Linked DNA regions of Alligator mississippiensis. The protein of the gene in region 1 binds, or shares a complex with, the protein of each later gene. Links are inferred from orthologs where the notes say so. Each region holds a gene or a part of one and is shown in the gene's direction. Other genes may lie near its edges. The genes, in order: TAF1A, TAF1C, TAF1B and POLR1H.

Evidence for each region.
Region 2: TAF1A (region 1) and TAF1C share a complex: the UniProt entries of both Homo sapiens proteins name them as parts of the transcription factor SL1/TIF-IB complex. The link is inferred for Alligator mississippiensis from reciprocal best matches to the Homo sapiens genes TAF1A and TAF1C.
Region 3: TAF1A (region 1) and TAF1B share a complex: the UniProt entries of both Homo sapiens proteins name them as parts of the transcription factor SL1/TIF-IB complex. The link is inferred for Alligator mississippiensis from reciprocal best matches to the Homo sapiens genes TAF1A and TAF1B.
Region 4: TAF1A (region 1) and POLR1H share a complex: the UniProt entries of both Homo sapiens proteins name them as parts of the pol I pre-initiation complex. The link is inferred for Alligator mississippiensis from reciprocal best matches to the Homo sapiens genes TAF1A and POLR1H.

What each region holds. Positions count from the first base shown.
Region 1 is NC_081824.1:182,344,711-182,352,070, forward strand, and holds the start of TAF1A (TATA box-binding protein-associated factor RNA polymerase I subunit A), read left to right. Parts: upstream 1-4,350; 5' UTR 4,351-4,596; coding exon 4,597-4,840; intron 4,841-6,410; coding exon 6,411-6,580; intron 6,581-7,360. UniProt on the Homo sapiens protein: Component of the transcription factor SL1/TIF-IB complex, which is involved in the assembly of the PIC (pre-initiation complex) during RNA polymerase I-dependent transcription.
Region 2 is NC_081826.1:303,255,592-303,262,431, reverse strand, and holds the start of TAF1C (TATA box-binding protein-associated factor RNA polymerase I subunit C), read left to right. Parts: upstream 1-3,831; 5' UTR 3,832-3,846; coding exon 3,847-3,978; intron 3,979-5,578; coding exon 5,579-5,663; intron 5,664-6,019; coding exon 6,020-6,126; intron 6,127-6,595; coding exon 6,596-6,691; intron 6,692-6,711; exon of another isoform or gene 6,712-6,840. UniProt on the Homo sapiens protein: Component of the transcription factor SL1/TIF-IB complex, which is involved in the assembly of the PIC (pre-initiation complex) during RNA polymerase I-dependent transcription.
Region 3 is NC_081824.1:30,788,703-30,796,256, reverse strand, and holds the start of TAF1B (TATA box-binding protein-associated factor RNA polymerase I subunit B), read left to right. Parts: upstream 1-4,549; 5' UTR 4,550-4,606; coding exon 4,607-4,624; intron 4,625-7,554. UniProt on the Homo sapiens protein: Component of RNA polymerase I core factor complex that acts as a GTF2B/TFIIB-like factor and plays a key role in multiple steps during transcription initiation such as pre-initiation complex (PIC) assembly and postpolymerase recruitment events in polymerase I (Pol I) transcription.
Region 4 is NC_081834.1:54,008,897-54,016,173, reverse strand, and holds the start of POLR1H (DNA-directed RNA polymerase I subunit RPA12), read left to right. Parts: upstream 1-4,262; 5' UTR 4,263-4,305; coding exon 4,306-4,435; intron 4,436-4,536; coding exon 4,537-4,637; intron 4,638-5,103; coding exon 5,104-5,213; intron 5,214-7,277. UniProt on the Homo sapiens protein: Core component of RNA polymerase I (Pol I), a DNA-dependent RNA polymerase which synthesizes ribosomal RNA precursors using the four ribonucleoside triphosphates as substrates. Can mediate Pol I proofreading of the nascent RNA transcript.

The sequences.
Region 1 (7,360 bases):
AAGTATGTTAGCAACAAGAGGAAGGTCAGGGAAAGTGTGGGTCCCTTAGTGAATGGGGGAGGCAACCTAGGGACAGATGAGGAAAAGGCTGAAGTACTCAGTGCCTTTTTACCTTGGTCTTCACAGGCCAGGTCAGCTCCCAGACTACTGCACCAGGCAGCACAGTTTGGACAGAAGGTGAGCAGCCCTCAATGGTGAAAGAACAAGCTAGGGGCTGTTTAGCAAAGCTGGACGTGTACAAGTCTATAGGGCTGGATGCAATGCATCCGCGGGTGCTGAGGGAGCTGGCCGATGTGATTGCAGAGACACTGGCCATTATCTTTGAAAACTCGTGACGAGTGGGGGAGGTCCCAGACAATTGGAAAAGGGCAAATATACTGCCCATCTTTAAGAAAGGGAAGAAGGAGGATCCAGGGAACTACAGACCAGTCATCCTCACCTCAGGCCCTGGGAAAATCATGGAGCAGGTCCTCAAAGAATCCATGTCTAAGCACTTGAAGAAGAAGGTGATTAGGAACAGAAAGCACAGATTCACCAAAGGCAAGTCAGACCAACCCGATTGCCTTCTGTGATGAGATAATTGGTTCTGTGGATGCAGAGAAAGCTGGGGATGTAATATATCTTGACTTTAGCAAGGCTTTTGATACTGTCTCCCACAGCATTCTTGAAAGCAAGCTGAGGAAGTATGGGTTGAATGGACTGTAAGGTGGATAGAAAGCTAGCTGGATTGTCGGGTTCAACGAGTAGTAATCAATGGCTTAGTATCAAGTGGAGTGCCCTAACTCCCTGGCGCTAAGTTTGTTTGATATCTTCATCAACAATCTGAAAGATGGGATGGATTGCACCCTCAGCAAGTTTGCAGATGACACCAAGCTGGGGGGGTGTAGTAGATAAATTGGAGGGTAGGGCTAGGATTCAGGGTGACCTAGACCAGCGGTTCCCAACCTTGGGCCACGACCCAAATGAGGGTTGTGGGGCCAATGCCGGCAGCGCTGCACACAAAGGACAAGCCATGTCATGTGCTGGGAGCTCCATCACCCTGCCCTTGGGCTGCTGCCGCCACTGCACTCCACTACAGCTGCGGGTCATGGCAAACAAAAGTTGGGAACCACGGACCTAGAGAAATTGGAGGATTGAGCCAAAATTAATCTCATGAGGTTCAAAATAAGGACAAGTACAAAGTCCTGCACTTAGGACAGAAGAATCCCATGCACTGCTACAGCCTGGGGACAGTGGCTAAGCAGCAGCTTTGCAGAAAAGGACCAGGGGTTATAGTGGACACGAACTATAGTGGACACTAACTATGAGTCAGCAGCGTGCCCTTGTTGCCCAGAAGGCTAACAGCATACAGGTTTCCCTCGCTTTATGTTGGTTCTGTATGTGCAAATTCGCTCTTACGTGATGATCCTTTTTATACCAAAATTTGTTATACGCAAGGTAAATTCACTCTTATGCGATCGGTGTGGTGGAAGCCCACAGTCAGCTGCTTTGTGCAGTGTGTTGTGGGAGTGACATGCACCAAAATATCTATGCTCCTTGCTCATTGTCTGCACCCTGTGTTTCTGTAGTTGCCATCCTCATTATGGTAACATTCACTATCACCCTGTGGTTGTATATACTGTCTGCTGTTGGCGAGTACCAAAATTGTCTTGTAAAAGTAGTAGAAATGGGTCTGGAGGTCAGTATAATTGAGGTCTTGGAAAGTATCCTTATTTATTATATTGTAAAGTGGGTTCATTTTATGCAAATTTGAGTTATGCACCCTTTTCCAGGAACGTACGTATAGCATAAAGCGAGGGAAACCTGTACTGGGCTGCATTAGTAAAAGCATTGCCAGCAGATCGAGGGAAGCGATTCTTTTCCTCTAGTCAGCACTGGTGAGGTCACATCTGAAATACCATGTTGTTTTCAGCCCCCCACTATAGAAAGGATGTGGACAAGTTGGAGAGCGTCCAGCAGATAACAATGAAAGTGGTTTGGGGGCTGGGGCACATGACTTCTGAGGAGAGGTTGAGGGAACTAGATTTATTTAGTCTTCAAAAGAGAAGACTGAGGGGGGATTTGATAGCAGCCTTTTACTACCTCAGGGGTGGTTCCAAAGAGGATGAAGCTAGACTGTTCTGTTGGCAGATGACAGAACAAGGAGCAATGGTCTCAAGTTGCAGCATGGGAAATTTGGGTTTGATATCAGGAAAAACTCTGTCGCTGGGAGGGTGGTGAAGCACTTGAACAAATGACCTAGAGAGGTTGTGGAATCTCCATCCTTGGAGGTTTTTCAGCTCTGGCTTAACAAAGCCCTGGCTGGAACGATCTAACTGGGGACGGTCCTGCTTTGAGGACTAGGGGCTGGAGTAGATGACTTCCCGAGGTCCCTTCCAACCAAAATTTCCTATTATGGAAACCACCTACTGTACCCTGAATGTTGGCTAATGACTCAGGTCAAAGGGGATAACAGGTGAGTCCCTATTCTGTTCCTTACATGTGTCCGCAGACCATCTTCCTGCTGCTCCTCCTTGACTATTCATATTTGCACAGTGGCCCTCTCAGTGTACAACATCCTTGTTCTACTCCTCACACAGATCCAGAAACCATCTATCATTTCCACACCTCATGCACAAACCCCACCCAACTCCTCCCACACCCAGACCCTCACCATTTCAGTCCTAGACAAGACCACCAAAACTGCCTCTCATTTCAATCCACTTCTTTCCTTGCCTCTCCTCCATTCAGCTCCATTCCAAACACGAGCAAGTGTATCGCAGAGATGTTGATGCTCTTTGGCTAGTCCCCTCTGCTGTGTATTGCAGTAACAGAACAAGTTACTGCCTTTTCAATCTATTATCACATTCTAAAAAACAAAACAAAACAAAAAAACATGGATCCTTCAAGGGTCAAAGCTACCTTTGTAAAAATTGCTTTTTTTACTCAAAAACTACAAGACAGCTTTAAAAAAAAATCTTCCTGCTATACCATTCCTTTAGATTCCTACACTCCTGACCTGTGGCCTCCAAACATATTCACACATCATTTTGCAAGTACCCTTAGTCAATTTTATTCTCTTCTTTCAAAAGTAATTCTGACCTATGCAAGTCAGGTAGAGAGGACCAGGAAAAAAGCAGGTAAGACAAGACCTAGTGAGAGAAGTAGAAACAGGTGAGAGAAGTAAGAGGCAAGAATTGTTATAGGTGACAGCTTTTACTGGATCAAGCTGCATGTCTGCCATGCATCTATGGCCCTGATTTTGTAAATACTTATGCATTTACTCAACACATGCCTCCAAAGTAGCTGGCAGCACTATTCACAGGTGTAGGGTTGCCAACTCTGAATCTATTCCAAGAGGTTTCCGGAATGCCAACATGCTGGCAACACAACACGGATGTGCCTACCTGCTTCCATGTATCAGTTACATAGACTTCATGTCAGGAAGGCAAATGCAAATTACTATTACATTTTAAAAACTGGACTACCATGTAAATCGGATTCAACATTTAATATTTATTTTAATGAATGCCCTGTCATTTATCTCCTGGGGGGCTTCCAGTAGCCTCCTGGAGATTTATATCTAATCCCTGGAGACTCCAGGGCACTCCTAGAGGGTTGGCAACCCTACATAGGTCCAAAGTCTATAAGCATGCATGTATTTTCACAGTGGGGGACTTACTTCCCCTGTACTGTGCTCTTAGCTATTCAGCTCCAAGCTGCTGCTGTATGTTGACTACTCGACATTTCACTGGTCTTTATATTATTGATGAGCAGTATTTAGGAACCATCACTGTGATGTTAATAGCATTATTATTATTGCTATAATACTAATCATTATTGCTATAATAATTAGGACCACAAGTATATTACTATTAAGCATATGATCACTTACTATTGACTAATACGATTTATTTCCTTATTATGGCTAATAAGAATAATATTAATATCAATCACATTAATATCAATATAATTCATATGAATAACAACCACAATAATAATGACGATTAGAACGACAATAACAGTAATGGTATATATTATTATATACAATAGTACTTGTTATATTAATATAATATGAATTATAAGCATGCTACAATAATTATATTATTATTATATCAATAATAATAATAATAATAATTGCTATCTCCTCGGTGTGCAGACCAGATCAGACCGAGCCTCGGCCTTGGAGCCCGCGGCACAAGCCGACCCATAGCTGCAGCTGGGGGCGCAGGATCGGGTTCCAGGGGTGGGAGGATGGTATGACCGGAAACCCGCGCCTGCGCACTGAGAGTCACCTCAGCTCTCGCAGGGAACAAGCAGCGAGACCAGGGTCCGGTCACATGACCGGATTGGCTCCACGACACGCCCCTGCCACAACGCTAGATGCCGACTTCTGAGAAAACAGTGCATGAGCACCTCGCGTCTCTTCCCCGGCTGCACTATCCCTCTGGCGAGGTCGAAGGTCATTCTGAAGGTGGCTCCGAGGCACTGCTGAAGAAAGCTTTGCTTCCTTTTTTTCAGAGCTAACTGACTTTGCTCTTGATAACGGTAAAGCCACTTGATGTCGGTGCCCGGATTAATTTAAAGACGTAGTTGGTAAATAAGGGCGTGGGTCACATGATAGGTACTTTGAGGTCTCTCGCCAGGAACAAACATGGTCTCCCGCTTCTAGTGGGCCAGTCGCGTCCTGTGGGACCGCGCCACTTCCGGCCGGGCGGGGTGCGGGACTGGTTCATTCTCCTCCTCCCCGCTGCCGAGGGCATGGACGGCTTCGTGGAGCAGCCGGCCCCGAGGGAGGAGTGGGGCAGCCTGGCCCCGAGCATCCACCTGCCCCTGCTCCCGTGCTTGCTCCATCACCCAGGTAAGTGGTACTGAATGGGTTGGGCCCAAAGGTACAAACCAGCCCTGCCTCATGGTGCTCCTTGATTTGGCACATGCCTGCACACACATGTACAGGTATATATACACATGGACCTGCACGTGTGTGGACCCGCAGGTGTGTGCACCAGGGTTTGAATTACAAGGGAGCTTGGGGGGCTGAGACCCCCCCCCCCCTCCCCATAACAGGCAAGAGCCCCCTGTAAAATTTGAAAATCATAATCTGGGGAAGGGAGCGGGGGATCATAACCTAGGGATTTTATTAGGGCATCATGATGGGCAGCCCAGGTTTTTTTTGCAGAGGCGATGTCCAGGCACTCACTAGCACACCTCCCCCCCCCCCCCCCATGCTTTTTCAGGTCCAGGGGAATCAGAGTGGGGGCGCAGCCCTGCATGGGCAGATTTGCCCCAGTCAGCTCTGCTCGGGTCAGCTCTGTGTGCAGCACACGTTGTCTGGACATTGCTGCGTGCATGGAGCTGGTCTGGCATGCATTGCATGTGGCACCTCTGCTGCTCTGGATCCAAAACACTGGGCTGGTCCAACATGCGTACTGCATTCAGCGCTCATCTCGGACTGGCCCTGCGCACCAGACTGGCTCCACACATGAACATGGGGCTGGTTCAAGACCTAGGAACTTGATAGAGCTGGCGCTAGCACATGCTGGGGACCCCCTCCTCCCCTAGTCAGCAGTCGGCTGCTGGTGCCTCCCTAGTATCGGGAGGCACCAGTCACCCATGAAGTTGGTGTACACTGCACAGAGCTGGTCTGGGGGATGTGTTGGCTCTGGCACATGAGGCTGGTCTGTTATTTCAAAGCAGATGAAAACACAGTCTTTGAATACAACTATAGACCACAATACACTGTGGTTATGCAGTTCATGTGGGAAATCTGTCCTGTTTAGCCGTGGTCCTTTAATAGTTTCATATGTAGTGCTCATAGTGTAGGAGGAGGAACAAACTCTACTACGTGGGTCTATCAGTTTTGCGCTTCCTCATCAGAAAACATTGGTGCATTCAGGAGGCACACCATTCAGACTTTAACTGCCACAGGTTCTATATGGGCTGCAGCAACAACGATTCAGTTTGGGCAGGGGCCTAACCAGCCTCTTGGAGCCCTTGCGTAGGGAAGCTGCAAGTTTTCTTCGAGCTTAGTCATAGTATAGGAACAAATTCTCCCCATCTCTGCTTCAGTTTACAATCTGCTTAAATAAGAGTTTTTAATTTGTTTGTACCAGCTACTTGCATTTTCAGTTCTTTAGGTGAGCACTGCTTCTTAACACAGTTATACTTAGCTGAAAGAAGTTCTCTTGGTTGAGGTTTCTAGGTGATCATAGTACAATATCTTGCAATGTAGACCTTAAATAAGAGAGGAGATGGGCTCAGAGGAGAAATCCACTGTGTTTTAGGAAATATTTGAAGTTGCATTTTGAAGCATGGTTTCTGTCTTTTTCATCTCCTTTGGCAGAGTTTGCCCTGGACAAAGCTAAAGGTAGTAAAGTGATAGTTACATTGTTACCCTCTCTTATTTGTTAATCCTATTTTTTTTTTTTTAGTAACTAGGGGTCCAAAGGAAACAGAATTTCAGAAAACAAAGGAAGCTTGTTTAAACTACATTCAAGATGCCCTGTTGCAGAACCAGTGGCAGAGGGCTGCAGAGTTCATGATTAGCTACTTGGAGATATTGGAAACAAGTACAGTGAGTAAACGGAAAACTGCTCCAGAGGTAAGATAAAAAGAGGCTGTTACCAGAATTCACTTGCTGTTGATGGAAATAATTTAAAAGGGCATTTGAAGTAGTTCATGATCCATACTTATGTCTTATTTGTTAAAAAGAAACCTCAAAGCTTTACAAGAACATGTGTGCATTAGAGAGGTTTTGGGGTTTAGGTTGTAGCTGTGTTGGTCTAAGGACATAGGCAGACAAGGTTCCTTGGGTGAATTTGATATCTTTTATTAGACCAATCCAAATGGTTGGAGAATAGTTATTAAGCAAGCTTTCGGGTTCAAAAACCCTTCGTCAGGCTAAGGAAGCTTCAGCAGTTGGTGTGTGCTCTTTTGATTACTCTCTAGGTATCCATACCAACCAATACATTTGGAAAACAAACCTCTAGCATATAAAACAGTAGAGATATAGAACAAAGTTTAGCAGTTCAGTACAACTCATGCATGTCCCTGGCAGAGGGGGCACAAAACTGCACCCTGCATATAAGCAACCACAGTTCTGTTGCACAAGTATCGGGTAGCAGACCACACAAAACTAGACCCTGTAGTTGCTAGCAGTTAAGGGGTTTTATTCAGGTAATGTGGAGCAGCTTGGGAGCAGGGGAGTTGTCTAATGTAGCAGCAGCCTTTTAAGGCTTTGGTCTGGATTGGCCCAGTTGGAGTCAGAGGCAGGCAGGTGGATGAGTGGCTACTAGGACCCAACCAGCACTGGCACTGTTCCCTGTGGCAGCAGAGAGGAGGTGCCTCTCCAGTGTCTGCAGGCATTGTCCAGACTGGGGAT
Region 2 (6,840 bases), on another chromosome or scaffold:
CGCCCCACACTCCCATGCCACCGTGGGCCTTTGCCACCTGACTCCAGCCTTCAGTGCTGGCAGGAAGGGCCTGTCCTGCCCCACACTGGTTGCAGCAGCCTGCCGCAGACGGCCCCTCTGCCCAGCAGCTCTGCCAGCCCCTCTCTCACAAGCAGGTCCTAGGACCAGAACTGCTCCTGCCTGTCGCTCATTGGCTGGATGAGGGGCCATGCGGAGAGGAGGAGCCATCTTTGCTCCCGCTGTCACCACAAGCAAGGCCTCTGCGGGAAGCCCTTCGGGGACAGACTGGGACTGCTCTGATGCCTGCGGAAAATGCTTGTGGGGAAATGATGAGGATTGCCTCTATGAGCCCCAGATGGGAAAGGCTGTGTCATGGGAAGCAGGTCTCACAAGGCGGTGCAAGGATCCACCATGTCCGGGCCGTGGCAGAGGCCGCCCAGCAGTGCACTGCCTGGCCTGGTGTGTAAGGAAAGGGACATGTCACTGAGCACTGTGGGAGAAGCCCTCAGGGCTGTCACTCTCTGGGCTCTCGGTGAACGCCCCAGAAGGGGGTTAACTGAAAGAGAACAGCCATGAGGATGCCCCTGGCGAGGCACGGGGCATGGTGCAGTGGACGAACATAGCCATGCAATTAGCCCATAAGGCAAAGACCATGTGTATCTGGTGGTCACTTAGGAAGAACAATTCAGGAAGCCCTGGGGCAGAACCTGTTGCCCCCACAGCAAGGCCAGGGACAGGGACAGGGACAGGAGCACCTTGGAACAGCAGAGTGGGCAGCTGAGCACGGAGCTGGGGGCAGAGGCCCCATGGGCACTGTCGGCCCGGGGAGGGTCCTTTCCCTGGGGGTCTTGGGCTGAAGCAGCTTTCAGCTGTGCTGCTGGACCACCTGTGCTGTGAGGCTTGGAGGCCTGTGCATGGGGGTCTGGGGGCAGGGTCTTCTCTGGGTGGGCTGATCGTAGTCTGAGGGTGGCATCTGTGAGTAGGGATGGGCCCTGGGCAAAGGTGTCTGTGGTGGGGCAGCTGAGGGAGAGCAAGGTGGTAGAGGGGGCAGGCTCACGGGTGTGGAGGCTGCTCTGGGAGAGGGTGCACGAGGGGCAGAGCTAAGTGTGGGCAGGGCCTGGGCTGGGCTTTGGGCTGCTCCGTGTTGGCCCAGCCAGGGAGGCGAGGGCCGAACCTGCCCTGGTTTGTTTGATGCCTCTTAGCTGGGCTGCAGCTGGGAGAGATGCTGGATGCTCCCTGGCGCTGAGCGCCCTGCTGCAGGGAGCGCTGGCACGTGTGCAGATGTGGATGCAGCCCCCAGGCTGTGCGCCAGGAGGCCTCCAGGAAGGGGACCGAGAATGAGCTGGGGCCATGCCCCTTGTGTCTATGGCTACAGACACGAGACCCCATCAGTCCTGCTCCACCAGGTGCTGCAGGCCTCGCTCCCACCGGCTCCCCTGCACCCAGCCCAGCACCATGTGCCTGCCTGCGCCACAGCCAGCGACACCCCACGGCATCATCCAGAAGTGACCCATGCGCCTGGGACACTTCACATTCAACAAGGTTTATTTGGTGCCTGGGTGACTCCTGCCTGAGAGGAGCCTCCAGGTGAGAGTGCTGGAGGCAGGGAACTCCTGGGCCCACAGGGGCTGGGGGGAGCCGTGTCCCTGCACCCACAGCTGGACTGGGGCAGTCTCTGCTGCTGAGAGTTGGAGAAGGAGTGTGGCCCCAGGGAGGGTGCCCTGAGGATTTGAGGGAGTGACAGAGAAGGATGATGCTAAGTGCTGCTGAGCACTGGGGAAGGAGTGCTGCCCTGGGGAGGGTCCCCGAGGAGGATCTGGGGGAGCAACAGAGAAGGACAATGCTGCCAGCTGCAGCACAGCACCCAGGTCTGACTGGCCCACAACTGTTGCATGCAGGGACTGGAGCCCTGCAGCTGGGACAGCTCCTGGCACAATTGGGGGGACTGGGAAGTGGGGTTACAGGACCCTGCTGGCCCTTCCAGGCCTCTGGATGTAGGCTGTTCCTCTTACTGGAAGTCCATGGAGGGGTCACTCCTGGTTGCTGTCACTTTCTGTATGACTGTGCTTGGCTGGTAACTTGTTTGTCAGAAACAGTTGCCAGGTTGGAAAGGGAAAGGAAAAAGGGCCTGTTGCCAGGTGTGAGATATCCCTGGCCAGAGTCAAGCTCAGTAACACATGCCTGGGGCTTTTGTATTAAGGATCAGGAAGGGGAGTGCATGTCACTGCTCTGACTGGAACAATCACAACACAATGTTATCTTTGCCCAGCTGGCCGCACTTCCTAAATGTAACATACAATCCAGCCCGCTCCCCTATGTGCCACTAACACTGCATTTTGTTTTGCTTTGATCTTAAGCTTGGTAAGGTAGCCCTGGGCCCCAGCACGTCAGCACCCATTGCTTCTCTTTACTGGGAGAAAACGGTGTGCTACGTTGATGCACCAGGCCCCTGCACCCCTCTTCAGAGCTCTAGACCCCCGCTGTGGACGCCATCCAGGGTGGAAGCAAGGAGCACGTGTGCTAATGCCTGTGCCAGACCACAAGCATCGCCCAGACAGGCTTTGTGGTGAGGGAGAGCTTGCGTGGGACGAGCTTTTGGGCACGTGGCCTTCCTTGGGCTTGGGGAAGCAGCAGGTGAAGCCACAGCCGAAGGCCAGGCCAAACCGCAGGCATGGAAAGCCATTGTCAGGCAGGTTTGGGAACCGTGCAAGAAGTGCAGGGTTTGGGTGACATCTGTGATAGGATCCGCAGATGTCCGTAGTGGCTTGTCCTAGAACCTGAACACGTTGCCGGCAGCATTCGTCACAGCTGGAGGAAGCGGGAGCACCAGGCCTTCACTGAGCCCCACCACAAGCTGCGAGGGTGCGGGGAGGGCAGTGGTCGCTCCCGGGCAAGGGGAGCTCCTGGCTTGGCTGCACCCTGCTGCCGCGTGCGCCGGGGGCGGGAGGCACGGGGTGCAGGGGCCCTGGGCCTGTCTGTGCCCCTCGCAGGTTTTCCCCATGTGTTCTTGGCTCCAATACTGTTCTTGACCTGAAACTCCTCCTCAGCTTCCCGGAGCCTTTCCACACCCCAGCACCCTGGCCCAGCTCCAGGGTACAGGCCGTCCTGCGTGGGGGAGGGCCAGGGCCCACTTCCTGCCGTGCAGGGCACCAACCACTGCCCCCCCAGGGGCTCTTGTCTGGATGAGGGACCTGGAGCAGCTTGCCCTGCCCTGGGATGTAGGGGGGCACCACAGCCGCTGGGGGGGCACCCCCAGCTGCCCCCCAGCCCCCTGGGGAGGCACCCCCAACTGGCCCTGCACCCCCCCCCGGGGGGGCACCCCCAGCCACCCCACGCCCCGGGAAGCACCCCCAGCCACCCCATGCCCCCTCCCCCGAGGGGGCACCCGCAGCCGCCCCATGCCCCCCTGCGGGAGGCACCCGCAGCCACCCCACGCCCCCCGGGATGCACCCGCAGCCGCCCCACACCCCCCCCGCGGGGGCACTCGCAGCCCCCCCCGAGGGGGCACCCGCAGCCACCCCACGCCCCCCCCCGCGGGAGACACCCGCAGCCGCCCTCCCCGAGGGGGCACCCGCAGCCGCCCCACACCCCCCCCGTGGGAGACACCCACAGCCGCCCCACGCCCCTCCCCCCCCCGAGAGGGCAGCCCGGCCCGGCCCCCTGGGAGCTAAAGCGCACGCCGGCTCCGACGCTGCCGTCCGCCAGGGGGCGCTGCCGCGCCGCACTTCCGAGCCCCTTCCGCGCGGCGCGGCGCTCTGGCCGGGCGCTCTATGGGCGGCGGGCGTTGATTGGTCGGCGGCCGCTCGGGGGCTACATTGTAGCGGCGGGGCGGGCGCACGTGGCGCGATGCAGTTCCCGGCGCCGCTGTTCCCGGGGCCGCACCGCGCCGGGCCCCCCAGCCGCGAGCCGCCCTGCCCCGCGCTGCTCGGCTGGGGCGGGCGCGGACCGGTGCTGGGGGCTGGCGCGGAGCCGCGGCAGGTGAGTGTCCGTCCGGCCCCGCCAGCCCCGAGCCTGCCCCGGGGGAGGCCCCGCAAACCCCGGCCCGGCCCGGGCCCGGGCCCGGGCGCGCCAGTGCAGACCAGTCCGACCGGAGGAAATCTTTCCTGCCCAGCGGGGCGGGGGCAGGGCCGCCCCCACCTGCACGCAGCGCCCCGGTGGCAGGGAAGCCCCGACGCGGGACCGGCAGGAGGGCAGTTCCCTTCCCGGCAGCCTGGCCTCCGGCGGAGCCCGGGGCGGCCGCATCCCTGCTCTGCCCTGCACCCTGGGCCCCGCCCGGCTCGCGACCCCTTCCTCTTGTCCCTTCTGCTCTTGCGTGTCCCAGCCGCTCTGCACTGCAGGGTTCTCGCCTTTGCCATTGTCCCCCTCCTCTTCCTTCTTCCCCTGTGGTTTCCTCGCTTCTGCCCGTGTACCTTCTCACTGACCTCCTGTCACACGTTCAGCTTCTTTCCTTCCTTGGAGGTCTCCCAACAGCAGCGACTCCCTGTGCCCAAAGACGCGTGCTTGTGCCCGAAAGCTTGCAGAGAGCTCGTTTTCCTAGCTACTCAGTTGATGTAATAAAAGATAACACATTACCCAAAAAAGCTTGCCCGCCAGCTCCTCCAGTGTCCCTTCCTCTCCTGTCTGGCTGTGAGCGTCGCTTCGTTCTCCTGCTGAGCACAGCCCCGCAGGGAGTGCGCGCCCCCTGCCCTGGGCTGCAGCCCTCGGCCCACGGTGTCCCAGCAACTCGTGTGGCGGCCCCGTTGGCTCTTGTGCCCCCCAGCGCTGTGGGCATTGCTGTTCCCAGCTCGCTCGCGACCAGTGGCTGCCCAACCCCTGCGAGGGCACCTCCAGTGCTGGAGCAGCCGCAGCCTCCCTGGGCACCTGTTCCCCCGCTCCGACTAGGAAGAAGTTTTCTCTGAGATCCAGTCTAAATTTACTTTGCTGCAATTTCAAGCCAAGAGAGAAGCTGCTTTCCCTCTCCTGCGAGGCAGCTCTTCAGGTGTTTGCAGGCTGCTCTCGTGTCCCCTCTGAAGCAGCTTTTATGCAAGCTGAACATGCCCAGCTCCTTCTGCCTCTCTTAGGACTTGCCTTCCAAGCCCTTGAGCATTGCTTCTGCCCCTCTCTCACTTCTCCACTTCCCTTTTAAAATGTGGAGCCCAGCACTGCAGCCGTTATCCAGAGGAGGCCTGACCAGGGCCGAGCAGAGAAGCACCATCACCTCCTGTGTCTTGCACCTAATACGCGTGACAGCCCAAATCACAGTGCTCTTTTGTGCAGCTGCACCATGCTGCAGGCTCATATCGAGTCTGATCTATCGAGTTCCCCCCCACAATCCTCCTTGGCACTGCCGTCCAGCCAGGAGTCACCCAGTTTGTCACTGTGCTTGTGATGATTCCTCCCGAGGGGCAGCCCCTTGGACCGTTAGCGTTAACCTTAAGTGGGGAGGGAGTGCAGGCCCAGTGGAGGGCCCTGACCCAGTTGGGGAGTGGAGCTGCAGCCCCGGGCAGCGTGATGGGCTGGGGACAGCTGGGGACCAGGGTAGAGGTGCCCCCTGCAGTGGGCAGGGAGCTGTGCTGATCCATCTGTCCTGCCCTTACAGGGGTTCGTGCCGCTTCGCAGCGAGAAAGGCGAGAACTGGGAACCTGCTGATGCCGTTGCGGTGCCACTTCTGCCTCCTAACGCTGGTGAGAGCTCAGATCCTGCCTCGACCCCCAGGCCAGCAGAGCCAGAGATTGCCAGAGCACAAGGCCCTGACTGGCAGGGTCCTCCTGGCCTTCATCCCCTCCAGCAGCAGGAACTAGCTCCTGACCTGTGGGCTCCCCTGGGCAGTCCATCCCCGGGTACTGCCAGGGCCTGGGGGGTGCACGTGCCCATCCCTCTGCCCACAATTGCTGGAGGTTCCTTGAGCAGCGCTACATGGCTCCCTCCCCTCCCTGTGCCCGGGGGCTTGCACTGCACTGACAGCCTGGCCTGGTGTCCCGTCCCCTGTCGTGTCCTCTGTCCGTGTCCTTCTCTCTCCCCCCCCACTTCTGACCTGCAGGCTTCAGGGTCCTGGCCGTGACCCCCCATGACATCCTCTATCCGGGGCGGGTTCGGAGGAAGCTCCAGGCAGGCAGGACTGAAGCTGCCCTTGACTTCACCAGGCAGGTGAGTCCTTGCAGGCTGGCTGCTGTACCCAGCACCTCCGGTAGCCCACCACATGGCCCATGCCCTGGCAGGGGGGTCTTTGGGAAAGCAGCAAGTCTCAGCGCTCCTGTGGGCCCAGCCCAAAAGCCCCAGGCCTGGCTGGGCAGAGGGCCACTGAGCTCACTGCCCTCCTTGGGGAAAGGCGCTGGGGTGGAAGGGGAGCAGGGCTGCCCTGGGCAGGAGAGGGTGTCAGAGGATCCAAGCAGACCCACGCACCCACGTGGGGATCCAGGATGGCCATGCTCTGCCCACCAGGCTCTGCGCAGTGTCTCCCTGCAACGAGGTTTGGGAGGAGGGGGCAGGGGGCTTCAGCTGGGGCTGAGGCCACGAAGACACTACATGTGCCCAGCTGCCTGCTTGGGTTGCCCCGGACTCCCGTGTGCTAGCCAGACCCTGCTTGGGCCCCCTGACCCTGTGCCCCTCCCTGCAGCTGGCACACTTCTTCCTGGACCACCCTGAGGACGCGTTTGGGGCCATGGGCCAGCTACTGCAGGAGAATTTCCATCTGGGGGAGGCACGGCTGCGGGTGAGTGATGGTCCCTGCCCATCCCCAGGGACAGCTGCCCGCCTGGCTTGGGCCAGGGGGTAGGGGCAGCCCCCATCTTGCTGCCCCTGCTTCCCTGAGCCCCTGGCTCCTAGACCCCTGGCAGCCTGCTCTCCCCAGCTGTGACTAAC
Region 3 (7,554 bases), about 150 Mb from region 1:
GGTAGTTCCTGGCACTGCCTTGATGTCATTGCAGGTTCTGTTTTTCATGTGATGGCTTGACAAAGAAAAGGTGCCATGCCGCAGTTCTGTTCCTTTCCCCAAAACATGGCAACACAAGAAGAATTTATCTTAAAGGAGCTCAATCTGAGCATTGGGCAGGGAACCACTGCCCCCACACTGAGCTGCTCAATCTTGAGTGCAGAGGGTTGAGGGCCACCCCCTGGACTTTTCATCCCCTTCGGGCTACTTGGCCTTTCCCCTCCTCGTCCTTCCCAATTGGCTAGTTGGCCACATGTACCAGGACCCCAGGGCATTCCCTGCCAGGCCTTTCAGGGCTGAATGTCATGGCTGTCCCCTGTTGGCGTCATTCAGAAGCATGGCCGCACTGTGGGGGTGCATGAGGTTCATGGGCCATCCCTCCAGGGCTCACCCTTTTTGGGTCCCCACTGGGTTGCACTTTCCCATCCCCACCTCTCCTTTAATTCCTCATGTGGTCCCTCCGCTGTGACAGTGAGTGAGTTTGTCAGAGTGTTAGGCTGTCCATAAGGGGGACTGAGAGGCTTGGTGTTGCCTCTGGGCCTCAATCCTCTGTGGGCTGATGGGCTCCTCTGGGTCTGTTGGGGTCATCCAGTCCCAGAGAGTATAACCAGCTCACAACTGGCTGTGGGAGCTGCACCTGGGTTTTTCCCAGTTACCTCCTGGCCGAAGCATGCACGCTCCACTTCCCCAGGCTCACTGGCCAGCAGGGGAAGCGTTGGGTTGCTTCCGGGGGTGAGGAGTGCATCCAGCTTCATTCCTGGCATCCACACATGTCCTTCCTTCCCCTTGGCTGCTCTGTTCATGGCCTGGCCACCTGGGCTGCAGTGCCAAGGTAAGCCAGGCAGGGCCTGTCGCACATTACACACAGAACACCCCTCCTGTCGCCATAACACCAAGTCTCCTCTGCCTCCAAGTTCAAAACTTGCAATTAAAATATACATTTAGCATTTAAGTGTTGGTGTAAATGTTCAAAGGACTGCACAGTGAGTAATTCATGAATGCTTACAATACCCCTATGCTGCAGAAACTGCCATGTTGGATTGAACTGGTGCCCTATCACCAAAAGAGGACACTAGCAGATGCTTTAGTGGCAGCTGTAAGAAAACCCTGCAGTGGACATTTCTGGGATAACCTGTCCAGAGTCCCATCACTTAGCTTGCGACCTGAAGCAAGAGGGCTTATAACTCCTCCAAACACTTTTTTTTAAACCTAACTGATGTAACTGGATTTTTTCATCACAAAAATGCCCAACTTCTTTAAATCCTGTTAAATTCTTAGCCTCAGTGATTTTTTTTGCCAATTAAGTCCCATAATTTTGAGGTAAATATTACTGTCCACATTTTACTGTACCACAAGATGAATCAGTGGCAGGTCCAGGGGGGTAGCTCAAGGCCTCCTGACATTTATTTTATATACAAACAACAAAAAAGCACTGTTGCTCACCTTGTATATGTGGTAGCCTGTCTTCATCATCTCACACCTGTCATTCCTGTCCTGCTTCTCCCACTCCCATGCTTCCGGAGGTAGCCTGGTAAAGAAAATGGAGAGGCACCAAGGAAAACATTAAAGGTGAGGTTCCTCTACAGCTGTGAGGACTCTTCCTGGAAAAATGAAATGCAAACAGGAGTTTATTTCCCACAGGACACAGCTCTTGCCCAGATCTCTTCCTCCTTCCCTTCACCCTCAGCTATTGGGAAGTCTAGCTCTCCTGGGGTCACAGGACTTACCCCTCAAAGCCCAATTTCCATTTCTCTTCTTATAGTCTTATCCTCATAAACTTCTCTCTCAAACACCCCACATCTCTCCCTCCTTTTCTCCACTCTTGATCTCCAGGGGCAGCTGTCAATCTTGTTGCCAGGAATTTCTCCCTCCCTCCCACTCTCCTCACCCCCAACCTACCTTCTCTGGGAATTGCTGCTGCTCTCTTCTGCAGGCTGGGATCCCTGCACTACTAACACTGATTTCTCTCTACCTCAGTCCCCAAAGTTAGGGGAGGAGTAAAGCTACCTGGTGGAGGAACCAGCTGCCTGAGCTGGACTTGGTAATCAGGTGGTTGCCCACAAATTTGTCTTATTCCTGCCTTTCCCCCTGGGGGCTGGAGGCCACCCTGGCAAAGAAGTGCTGCAGTCAGCCGGCAGTGAGGGTTAGACAGGACACAGCAATGGCAAAAGTCACTGGGATTTTGTCTAAAATTAATTTGCAAGCTCTTTAAGGCATTGACCATGTCTGCTAAGGGATATAGGATGCACAGAATGTTTCAGAGGCAGGCCCTGTTGTAGGGTCTGATATAAAACTGAGCCCATGACGTTTCAAGAGCAACAAATTTGACACTGATAAAAAGTTGGGACTTACTCCCACAAGGTTTCAAGGCCAAGATCTTAGCAACAAAGGCCACCACAAAGAGAGGGTAGGAAGAAATTCCCCCTTTACAGTTAGTTATTGTAATTCTCTATTATGTGATGTCTTGCAACTTCTGATGCATTTGGGACATGGGTTTGCTCATGCATTGGGCCTTGCTGTTGGTAAGAATCAAGGGTGGATTAAGGGAGGTACATTTGTACTTTCTCCCCTTTGATTTCTGCTCTACCCAAGCTTTAAAGCCAACTGCTTAGGAGGGGCAATGGCATTTCTGTTCAGGCAGCACTGAGTCAATTGACTTCATGGCTCACTATGATCTGATTCCTGTTAATGTCACTTAATTCCATAGGTGTTAAGGACCCACTCTCCTTTTTAATGGTCTTGATGTTCTGCTATCCAAAGTATCCTTTCTTCTGAATTTTGCTCCAGATAAAGTCTCTCTTCTATCTCATTGCCCTGCAAACTGTTTTTTAGCTCTACCTAAAAACCTTAACTGAGATATATTAACTCAGGACTGATGGTGAAGTACTGGAAGCACTCTCAAGACACTCAAGAAAACTAGATTTTGTTACAAGTCTGCATGCTATGTACGTCTAACTATAATAACTTCCAGACTAATGAAACAATCTGTTTTGACTATCTGGATCTTTGTTTTTGGCCTAGTGTCTGCTGTCTTTTAAACTTAATGTATAATCTAGCAAATTCAGGCACATGCTGATAAAGTTATGTTTGCTTTTACTTTGATCTTGAACTGAATAATACAGTGCTTAGGTCCCAAGCCTGTTAAGAAAGTTTCTAGTCTCTTTTAACTGGAGAAAAATGTGTGTCATGAACAAACTTCACAAACCTACTGGATACAAAAAGTCATGGACACACATTAACAACCTGTCCGACATCTGATTCACCAGATACCTCCAGACCTTAACATTTACACTTTTCTTTTTCCCTTTTCCTCCCCTCCCCTCCTTTTCTACCCTTTGTCTTCCTAATTTCCAGCTATTTCACAGACTGCCTCTTTTCTACCTTGAGTAGAGTCTCCCTTATTTACTTTTGGCATTATTTCCCCCTGACTTCCCATTGTTTCCTTAATTTCCACCTATTTACATTCTCACTGACATCCTGGCACATTTTTAGTTTCTTTCATTCCTTGCAGATCTCAGGACAGCAGGGACTCCCTATGCCTGAGTGAAGAAAGATACTTGTGCCTGAAAGCATCAAAAGAACTTTTTTCCAACCAATAAAAGTTATCACATCTCCCCAAAGAAGCTTTCCTGTCATATTCTATGTGACTAACCATGCACCTTCACCCTCCCCCCACCCTTCAAAATCCTAGATCCACCCTGGTAAGGATAGGATGGCCATTGAGGCACCTCAAGAGCAGAGGACAACCCCCCCCCCCCCCCCGCCATCACCATGAACCCCCCCCAGTCCCCCCCACCATGTCCCCACCACCATGAACCTTGCGTGCCTCCCAAGGCTGAGGGCACGGTGAGCTCCCATAGGTGGTGTTGGCAGTGGAGACGTGTTGGCAGTGGAGACGTGTTGGGCGATGCGTGGGGAGCTCCTGCAAGCAGCTGTGGCAGTGTCGGGAGCAGGCCGAGCAGGGAGCTCTCACAGGTGGCCACGGTGGTGTCAGTGGTGGGCTGGGGATGGTGCTAAGCAGTGAAAAATAGAGGACATAAAGGCATCGGGTTTCATATCAATAGAGGACCAGAAAAACAGACTGTCCTATACAAAACCGGAGGAATGGCCACCCAGCTGCCTGTGCATCACTCGGGCGTGGTGTTTGGGGCAGCATCTAGATAAGGGTTGAAGTAGGATTGCCAGCTCTCTGTGAATCTGCTCCCGGAGGTTTATGAGGCAATGACATTAATGAAGGCAAATGCATGTTAAAAATCCAGCGGCCTACTATCTAAATCAAATGCAACATTCACTACTTATTTCCATGAATGCCTGAGCATTTATCTCCCGGGTGACTCTCAGTGGTCGGTCTCGTGGGGGTTGATTTCTAAACCCTGGAGGATTCAACCCTCGCTTGAAAACGACTCTGTTGCCCAGGGCCCAGGCGCCGCTCGGCGCTGCTGTGCTGTGCTGTGCTGCGATGTGCGCTGCTTTGCTCTCGCGCGCGGCGGCCGGAACCCGAGTGCTCGGGGCCGGCGCGGGGCGGGCCGCGCTGCAGCTGCGCAGCTCGGCCGGGGGCGCCGCGGCCATGGACGAGGAGGACACGGTGAGGGCGGGCGCGCCGCCGGGCCCGGGCCCGAGCTCGGGCCCGAGCGCGGGGAGCGGGAGGGGAGGGGAGGGGAGGGGGCGCCGGGCTCGGCTGCGGGAAGGGACCGGCCGGGACAGCCTTGTGCTAGGGCCTGCTTGTGTGTGCCTCTCTGCACATGCGCACGTGAGCCCGTCTATACACACACACCCTGGGTGTGTGCAGCACAAGTAATACACATACACACATCAATATAACTGTGCACGTGTGCAGCACAAGTAATGCACATACACGCATCAGTATATACTATATATATGTGTATACTTGTGCTATACACACACACTGTGTGTGTTTCGAGACAGGAACACATGTATCAGGTACATGCCCACACTGATGCACACATTGGTCAGTTTATACACATATTAATCGTGTGTGTGTAGCGCAAGTAATACACATACACACATCTGAATATATACTATACGTGTATATATACTTGTGCTATACACACACTGCACACGCAAGTGTGTGTATGTATCTGTATACACATACACATTGGTCAGTCTATCCATATATACTGTGTGTGTGTCTATACACACAAATTGTGTGTGTAGAACAAGTAATACACATACACACATCTAAATATATATATGTGTAGATATACTTGTGCTGTGTACACACTGCACACATGAGTGTGTGTGTATCTATATGCATCTACATATGCGTACACACATGCACACATTGGTTGGTGTATACAAATAGTTTCTGTGTGCATTTATAAACACATATATACAAACATATACATACATCATACATACCTGTGCTATATATACTCCATGTGTGCATATGTATATAATATCATATCATTATATATACACTCATGCCTTGTGTGTGTGTGTGTCTGTACACACATAAACCATGTGCATGCATGTGTGTATTGCAACTCAGGCACGTGTTTCCATGCGGAGTGGGTGGCTCTGGATTCTTGGTTCAGTCCACCATACGCTGTTTCTGCCACTCCCGCTTTTCCATCTGTTGTCGTTGTGAGGTTTCAAAGTACAGAGACTTGCAGCAGACTCTTCCTCCATTTGGGATGGTCCTGGGCAGTGGTCTCCCACGAGTTGATGTCCGTGTTGCATTTCTTCCAAGTTGGCCTCGAGGACTTCCAAATCACACACCTGCCTCGTCCAAGTGCTTAAATCTTCTTGTAACTGCTGCCTTCATGCCAGTTCATGACCAGGAGCTTCCAGGCCTCTCAATCCTGCTCCTGTCATCGCTAGCAGGTTGCTGAAAAGCCTGAAAAATGTGCTATCGCCGTTTTCATGGAAGATGTCTGTACATGATTTCTTTTGTTATGGAGAAGCTCCTGCACATCAGCTTCCACAGAGTTCTTGACAGAATGAGACCTTGATCCAACGGCTGGGAGGCCGAGACAGTTGGAGATCTTGTTCCACTGTGGCCTTCATCTGCCCTCGCAGCCACTGAGATTTTAACATCTTCTGCCTGCTCTGCTGCTAAGGACTTGTAGACCCAAGGCTGGGGGCTAGACAGATTTATTATAGCAGTGACCTGTACTTGCCATGTCACAGCACCATCAGAGGTCTTATGTGGCTTTTCAGGAGGGAGAACATTGCCATCTGCTGTCCCCACCACATCCTGGTGGTGCTGCTGCTGCTTGGTCTGCAGCTGCTTATTCATCAGAGTTACCCCTGCTTCTTTCAGAGCTAACCTTCCCTAAAGGTCATTCCACTATCTGCCACCTGTGGATGCACTGGGTCGCAAGACAGCTTTGCAACTGAGAGGGATGGCCTATGATGATCTCACACACATGCGGACGTGCACACACTTTGTATGTGTGTGTGCTTACATGTATAAACTCTGTGTGTGTGTATATATGCATGTATAAACCGTGTGTGTGTATGTGTACTGTTACCCAGTTAACAGATAACGTTGTGGGTAAGCTACTGATAAAGGAGACAGGAACAGGTCTACAGCCCAACCTTTTATTTGCTTGCACTCTAAAACATGAAAACAAACATTTATTGTTTCACTGAAACTTTTGGAACTGGACTGAACCACATCTCTTGTGGACTTAGAAGGTGTCGTTTAGTTAGGATTTACATACTTGGGAAAGAGAGGGCGGGTTTCTTATCTCCTTTCCTTCCCATTGTGGAATATTGTTCAATGCTGACCTGTTTCTTCTTAGTTTATGGTCTTCTCTGACAAAGCTGTTTTTGTTTTTACAAATTATTTAAGCATCTTAACAAAAATATATCTATTACTGCAAAATAATAACATCTAATACTTTTGGTTACATTGGTCACTACTAATATTTTTAAGATAAAGCTATGATACAGTGTATATGGACTATTTAATGCACGGACTTCCCTTATCTCCTTTCAGGGTTTGTGCTTTATTTAATTGTGCTTAATGGCTTCCTTTATTTGCAGACGTTCTCACATCTACAAAGATTCACAGGACAATCACTGAGAAATGGACTTTGGGGCCTTCTGCTTTGCAGTACTTCTCTAGCTTGGCTTAGGCCCCTTGCAAATGGCCGAGGTTGGCAACAGTACATGTATAAAACATGCGCACGTGTGTGTACATATACTCTGTGTTTGTACGTACGTATATAAGCCTCATGTGTTTGTGTGTGTACACATATAACCCAAAAGACTCTCTCTATGCCTGAAGAAGGGTGTTTGTGTCCAAAAGCTTGCAAAGAACAAATTTTCCAACTATTTAGTTGGTCAAATGAAAGATATCACATCTACCCAAAGAACCTTGTTTACACGTATAAACCGTGTGTGTATGCACACATATAAACAGTTTGTGTACGCACACAAACCTTGTGTGTGTACGTATAAATACACTGTGCATACTCATGTATTTATGCACATCTATACCATGTGCTCACACGTGTGTGTGTTGCAGACTGTTAGCTGTCATAGGAG
Region 4 (7,277 bases), on another chromosome or scaffold:
CAGAACTATTATGAAATTAAGGGAGATACCCAAGAGTCCCCAACTGAGCCAGCTGGTACCTCTTGTATCTGGCTGGCCCCAGTCTTGCACCCCTGAGCACTACATTATGGCCCTCTGACCCTATCAGTGCCTAGGGTGGCCATCATAAAGGACAGTCCGGTTGTCTTCAGTCCTGTATTGATACAAAACCAGATGCTTTTATGTCCTCTGTTTTTCTCTTGAAAAGAAAAATAGAGGACATAAAGGCATTGGGTTTCATATCAATAGAGGACAGAGTAGCAGAAAACTGGAATGTCCTCTCTGATGGCCACCCTATCAGTGCCTCAGGGCACCAACTGCCTTATCAGCTATATTCATGGCCTCCTTCCTCCCCTGTAGCCACTCCTATGCCTCACAGATGTTACTTGATGTTCGTTTGGAAGGGCCCCCTATCCCCAACCCAACTTTTGGCCTTCGGGCCCCAGACTTTTGTCAAAGACTCAGCCTTCCCGGCCTTGCCCCGTTTATTCTGGATGCACCTTTCAGTCCAGGTCTAGTGCCCTGGGCCCCTACCTTGTGCACTCTGGGCCCTGGGCCCCTGCCAACTCTCACACTCTGGGCCACCCATCAGCCCTTTGAGTCCCCAAACCCAAGCTGCACTGCTCTCCCTCTGGTCTTGGCCCTCTCAGCCTTGGCCGACTCATTCAGCCCTTAGCTCTCTGGGTCCCTGACCACAGGCCAGGCTGCTTTCATTACCTGTGGCCTCACCCTCTCAGCCTTGACTTAACTCACTCAGCCTTTAGGCCTCTGGGTCCCTGACCCCAAGATAGGCTCCTTATTATTGGCCAGCCAATCCATGAAGCAAATGTATCTGACCATAACATTGGCTATTTTTCTCTGTAGGAAGAGATGCCACTATCTCCCCATTTTGGCTCCCCCATGTGTTCCCCGCCACAGACAGAAAAATTATTTTTGGCCCGTCAGATCTGCAGGGGGGCTTGTCACAAATAATAAGCAATCCCAATAAAACTCAGAGTCCCCCACCACTGCATCCCCCAGTTGGGAGAAGAACTACACTAGAGCCCAGCATGCTGCAACAAGGACTGTCCAACAAGGGGCCCTGATGTGATGGCCTGACTTTGCAGAGGGCTCTTGGCCCTGGATCTCCTTTGCCACAAGCAGAGGTTGGATCACTTTATTTGATGGACCCTGAAGTCATTCCAGGTGATGCCAAGTGCAGTCCTGGGCTCATATAAGGGGGTCTGCGATTGAGAGATACTCACCCTGGATCAGAGTGACAGGCGAGTAGGTCTAGCACCTCACCCTCCTGTCAGGGCTTCTCAATCAGGCACAGGATTAATCACCTACTTCTCAGGTGACAGTAATAGTGAAGGTGACATGTAGCAAGGAAGCAAACCATGTGACAGATTTTCAGTTGACAAAAACTGGATGGGTAAAATCAATTCTGCCTGTTTCCAGTATCCCTCCCTTGCAGAAACGTCAACTGCCTCATTTGGAAATGAAGAGTCACAGGGTGCTGTTTCACACGCTGCCATTCAAAACAGCTACAGAGACTCTAGAATCTAGATACTTGTTCAATAAGAAAGGTACGAGGACAGAGAGATCCCCTACATCACAGGCCAGGTGCTGCCACAGCTGGCTCAGCATCTCCAAGGTGTCAGAGACATTAGTGGAGACACATGGCAGCAGAAGGGCTTATTTTGCTGTTTGTGGCATCACATCCCTTCAGCAAGAGGTGCTCTGGCATCAGGGGTCCCCGTCCCTCAGCAGAGCTGTACCCAGAGACATCCAGCTCACAGGACTGGTCTGGTGTAGACTAAGCCTTGCACACACACCTTCATGGGCTCCTAGGCCAGTGGTTTTCAACCTTTTTTTCATTTGCAGATGCCTAAAATATTTTGAACGGACATGTGAACCACTTTGACCTGTACATGTGTGTATTCACATGTGGTTGATTGATCAGTCATTTTTTGTGTACCCCTTAGACCAGGCTCGTCCAACATACGGCCTGCGGGTCACCATGCGGCCCGCCAAGCCATTTTATCTGGCCCGCAGCGGCGGCAGCACTGCCACCACTGCTGCCACGGAGCGCAGAGCCGCAGTGGTGGAGCGCAGAGCTGCGGCGGCGGCGAAGCACAGAGCCGCCGCGTCGGGGCAGCAGCGAGGCGGGAAGGGCAGGGCAGGGCAGGGCCGGCCCGCAGGCCCCAGCCGGCAGTGAGGGGAGGGGAGCTGCTTACCCCCGCAGGGCCCAGCTCATCAGTGAGCCGGGTCCTGCTGCAGCTGCCCCGAGGGCTGCACGGAGTGGGGCTGCCCCAGCCGCGCCTGATTGGATGAGCTGGGGGTGGGCTCCGCCCCTTGCCCCCGGCATGTGGCCTGGGGAGCTGCAGCATGGTCCACACCCTGCCCGCATGCATGGCGGAAGGAGGCACGAGGTAAGTTCCTGCGCAGAGCTGGAGGCGCCTCAGGGCCAGGCTGGGGTGGACGGAGGAACAGAGTAAGTTCCTGCATGGAACTGGGGGCGCCTCGGGGCCGGGCTGGGGCGGACGGAGGCACGGGGTAAGTTCCCGCGTGGAACTGGGGGCGCCTCGGGGCCAGGCCAGGGCGGACGGAGGCACGGGGTAAGTTCCCATGCGGAGCACACCCATTTCATTGTTAATTCCTGCAACTTCATTGGTGTCAAAGGTCACGTGACATCACTTCCTGATGTGATGTCACTTCCTGTGAGGTCTTTGAATATGGCTCACTGGCCCACTGGATGATAAAATGTTCATGATCCGGCCCCACATTCAAAAAGGTTGGACACTCCTGCCTTAGACAGTCTGCCGCCCCCAAGGCATTTGCAGACCTCAGGTTGAAAACCACTGCCCTAGACCCAGACCATGGCGGCTGACAGCTGGTCACCATGTGCCAACATGCAGGGCTGCCAACTGTGTTTGAATCAATTCAGGTTTCTGGAACACCAGTGTGCCTGCGACACACAATGCAAACATGCCTGTGCGTTTGCGTTGATCAGTTATGGATTACAGCGCATAGACTTTACGCCAGAAACATCAGCAATGCGTAGGGCGTGCACACGGGTGCACGTGCATCCCCTGAGCGTGGCAGTGCACCCCCTGTGAAAAGCCTGCTGTTGGTCGCTGCTCGCCATCCCCCCACCCTCGCTGCTGACAACCAGCGGCATCTATGGGAGGTCTGCAATCGCTGCTGGCTGCTGCCGACGGTGTCTGCGGGTGGTTGAACACTGGTCGGCGTCTCCTGCTCCCTGCTGCTGACAACGCTGCGGCTGCCTGCGGGAGCTGCACACCCGCCTCTGCCACCCTCCTGCCGCCAACAGCGCCGCCGCTACCACCTGCAGGAGCTTGCCGTGCCCCCCAGCCTCCGCAGGGCACATCGTTCATGGTCAGGAAGGCAAATGCACTTTCCTCTTACATTTTAAAAACCCACTGGACTACTGCATATATCAGATTCAACATTTATTATTTATTCCTTTCTCTTGGCTCTATGGTGCAAGGTCAACTCTTGATTCAGTGCAGCATATTTGCTTCTAAGGTTTTCTTTCCCCGTCCTTGCCCCTTCCTAAATTTAAGTGCCCCACGTGATAGTATTTCCCGCCTTTTCCCTTGGGGAAATGACTTCACAAACTGCCCCATAGCATTTATCTCCTCGGGGGCTCTCAGCCGGCTCCTGGACCTGTGGTTCTCAACCTTTGTTGTACCAGGACCTGTTTGTAAACATCAACTTCAATGGCCCCTGTCCCTCCCTCCCCGCGGCCCCAGGCCCCAGCCCCCAGTCTGTGCGGTGGGGCAGGTGGCTGCAAGCACCGCCCCCCCCCCCAGCCTGGAGCTGTGCCCGCCTGCCAGGGGAAAGCCCCGGCTTCCCTTGTTTTTCTCCTTTAAAGGAGACTCCATTGTGAAAGTGTCACTTATTCATATATAAAATAATAGATATAATAAATAGATATAATAGAATAGTAGATGTTATAAATAGATATAATAATAGACTCTTGCGACCCACTTGGAGGCCATGCCCCACGGGGTGACTAATGAGCTAATTAATTAACTAGCTAATCCCTGGAGACTCCAGCGCACACCGAGAGGGTGAGCAGCGCACCGCGGAGCGAGATGAGCCGGAACTGGAGGGGAGGGGAAAGTGGAGGAGGACACTAGAGCTGGACCGGAAAGGAAGGGAAAGGAAAGCCGCTGCTCTGGATGGAGACGCTCTGTCGCGCGCGCTTCCTTTGCAGCTCTAGTGCTCTGGCGGACCGGGAGTTGCCTGCTCCGAGCGCGGCGGCGGCGCGCGTGCGCCATGGAGCCGGCGCCGTCCGCCTTCCGCGCGGGCCCGGACTTCTGCCCGGAGTGCGGCACGGTGCTGCCCCTGCCCGGCGTGCAGGACCGCGTCACCTGCGTGTGCTGCGACTTCGCCATCGCCGTGCGAGGTGGGCCGGGCCCGGGGCTGCTCGGCCCCTTCCCCCAACCTGTGTCGTGTCCCCCTCCCCCTCCCACCCCACAGTTGTTTAATGACCTTTCCCCCCTGCAGACTTTGAAGGCCGCCTGGTGCAGTCATCCGTGGAGTTTCACAGGCCCGGGGCCACGGCTGTGCCGGCGGGGGGCGATGGGCAGGAGGTGAAGGGCCCCGTGGTGAGTGGGGGTCTCTGCGGGCGGGCGGTGCGGCAGCGTCCTGCGGCGGGGAGTCCCGCAGGTTATCGCCCCGTGCGGAGGGGCCTCAGCGCGCCGGTGACGTCTGCCCCGTAACCCTGGGAGCCTGCCTCGGCTCTGGTGACCCTTTCAGATTGATGGCACCAGGAGGGGTGTGAGTTGAGACCTACCACCTCACTTATTGGCCTCCCTCAGGCAGGAAATCCCAGAAATTAAGAGCCAGAAGGGACCTCAAAAGAGCGAGTCTTACCGCCCCGGCGCCCCAGGCCCGTCGTGGTTCCCGTGGCCCCTCTCTGCGCCCGGTCAAGATTCTCCGCGTCCTGTTTGACGCGCGGTGCCCAGAACGGGGCCCAGGGCTCCAGCTGGGGGCTCGCCAGCACCGAGTAGAGAGGAAATACTACTTCTTCTCTAGTCGGGAAAGCTGACAATTGATTCCTTGGGATTTCAGATCGACCGGAAGTGCCCCCAGTGTGGCCACGAGGGCATGGTGTATCACACCCGGCAAATGAGGTCGGCAGACGAAGGGCAGACTGTGTTTTACACCTGTGCTGAGTGCAAGTAAGGAGCCATTCGTGGGTGTCTTTTATGGGAGGTGGGGGAAGGGAAGAGGAAAGGAAAGTTGCAGTCCGTGGAGTAGCAGCTTTGTCCTGGAGCAGCCTGGATTTTAGTTGTTTCATCAGTCAAAGCTGAGATTCAGATTTTCACCAGAAACCGTGGGCATTTTTACACACGTTGTGGGATGCAATGCTGGGTGCTTTAATTAGCAAGCCATGCTAATTAAAAGTGTCTGTGCATTGCATGTATCAACATCACCATGCATCGCTACTCTGAAAAAATGGCAGGGCGCTTTTAATGACAGCTTATCAAACGTGCTTTTATTCAGACCACTCAGCCACCATTTTTTCAGCATGGAGACATAGCGATGCTGATGCACGTGGCACGGGAGGCTGCTGGAGCACGTCGATTTTTGTGTTCCAGCAGACTCAGTGAACTAAGTCTGCTCTGACACGCTGGCTTTCCAGTGCATTGGAGCAGGCTCCACATGTCTGTATAGGAGCCCTGTGACATTTCAGTGAAAGAATTTCGAGGCCAAATTTAATAATATCTTCTCATTGTGTAAACAGCAAGATATTTATTCTCTCTTTGAAGGTTTTTTGGTGACCAGTGAACATCACTGGTCACCTAGAACTTGCGTTCTCAACCTTTTTTGTACCAGGACCCATTTTTAAACATTGATGCCCAGTCCCCCAGTGTGTGGGGCACGGAGTGAGTGGGTGTGGGGCACGGGGGGGCCCCAGGCAGCCTCTTGCAGGCTGGAACTCTGCCAGCTTGCAAGGGAAAAGCCATAGTTCCCCACGTTTTGCTCCTTCAAAGGAGAATCCATTTTAAAAGTTTGTTTACAACCCTTTCATATATTCATGTGACCCACTTTTGGGTCACGACCCATGGGTTGAGAAATGCCGACCTAGAAGACAGCATTTCTTACCCTTTTGAAAGTTGAATTTGGAATGAGGCAAATGGTCCAAAGCAAGCCCACAGTGGAGACACCTTAATTTAGCCTTCTGCTCCCTTCCTCCCCATTCCAGCCAGAGGTTTGCATTCCCTGCTTTTCCCCACTGGGAAATAGTGGGTTCATGGCACAGTCCTTCTCCTCCTCTTCCTCCTCCTCCTCTTTCTTCCATGCTTTGGGAATGGTGGACATAATTACCATAGAATGATCTGTCATTGGCATCTGAGATTGAACCCACCAAGATGAAGGGAGGCAGTTCGTATCTGAATGCGACATCTGAGCTGACTGGCACAGCGTCTCTGCAGACTGGCGGGATCACTGCTTCCTATGTACTTTCTCAGCTACAGTGAATAATCAAGAGACCAGTTTGCCACCCCACCTGCAGATTCTTTAAGCCTCTGTGGGGAGATTTGCACCAGTCCTAAAAATTTTGCCTTCAGAGCAACCAAGGACCAACCTATCAAGGACAAGATGGGCCTCAAAGGCTGCGTCCATGCATGATGTGGACGTTTGTCTCCCCAGGAACAACTAGCAGGGGCACAACTAGCAGCAGCAGCACGCCTTGCACCACTGCTAGTTGTCCCCAAGGAATGCCTGTGTTGTGTCGCGAGTTACCTAGGGGTGGTAGGGGAGGCTGGGGCCTGCATTGGGCTGTCCCCAGCAGTCTTTCCTGGGGGCCTCCGAGGACTGCAGGAACAGTGATTCTGGCCGGCAGCTGCAGCGTGGCTCCGGGCAGCCCATCTCCACTTCTAAGCGAAGTGCACTACCCCTGCGTGCACTGCTCTACCTTTTTGCTCCGCAGATTTTTTTGACTCATGGTCAAAAAAACCCTCCACACTGCTCCCTTGCAGTGCGGAGAACAATTAAACGTGCCGTATGTGGCATGCAGATGTCTGCAGTGCCACCTACCACACAGCCGCTTTCATCTGGGCATAGCCAAAGGGTTTATCTGCTCAGCACAGGACAGTGCTGCACTGAGGGGCAGAACTTACTGATGCACTTACAAGTGCCACCCTAATAATCTGTTTCTGCACCATGGAGAAAATGCACCACGTAGACGAGACCTCACATATTTTATCTATCAATAAATTGAAGCTAACAAAGGGGGTTCG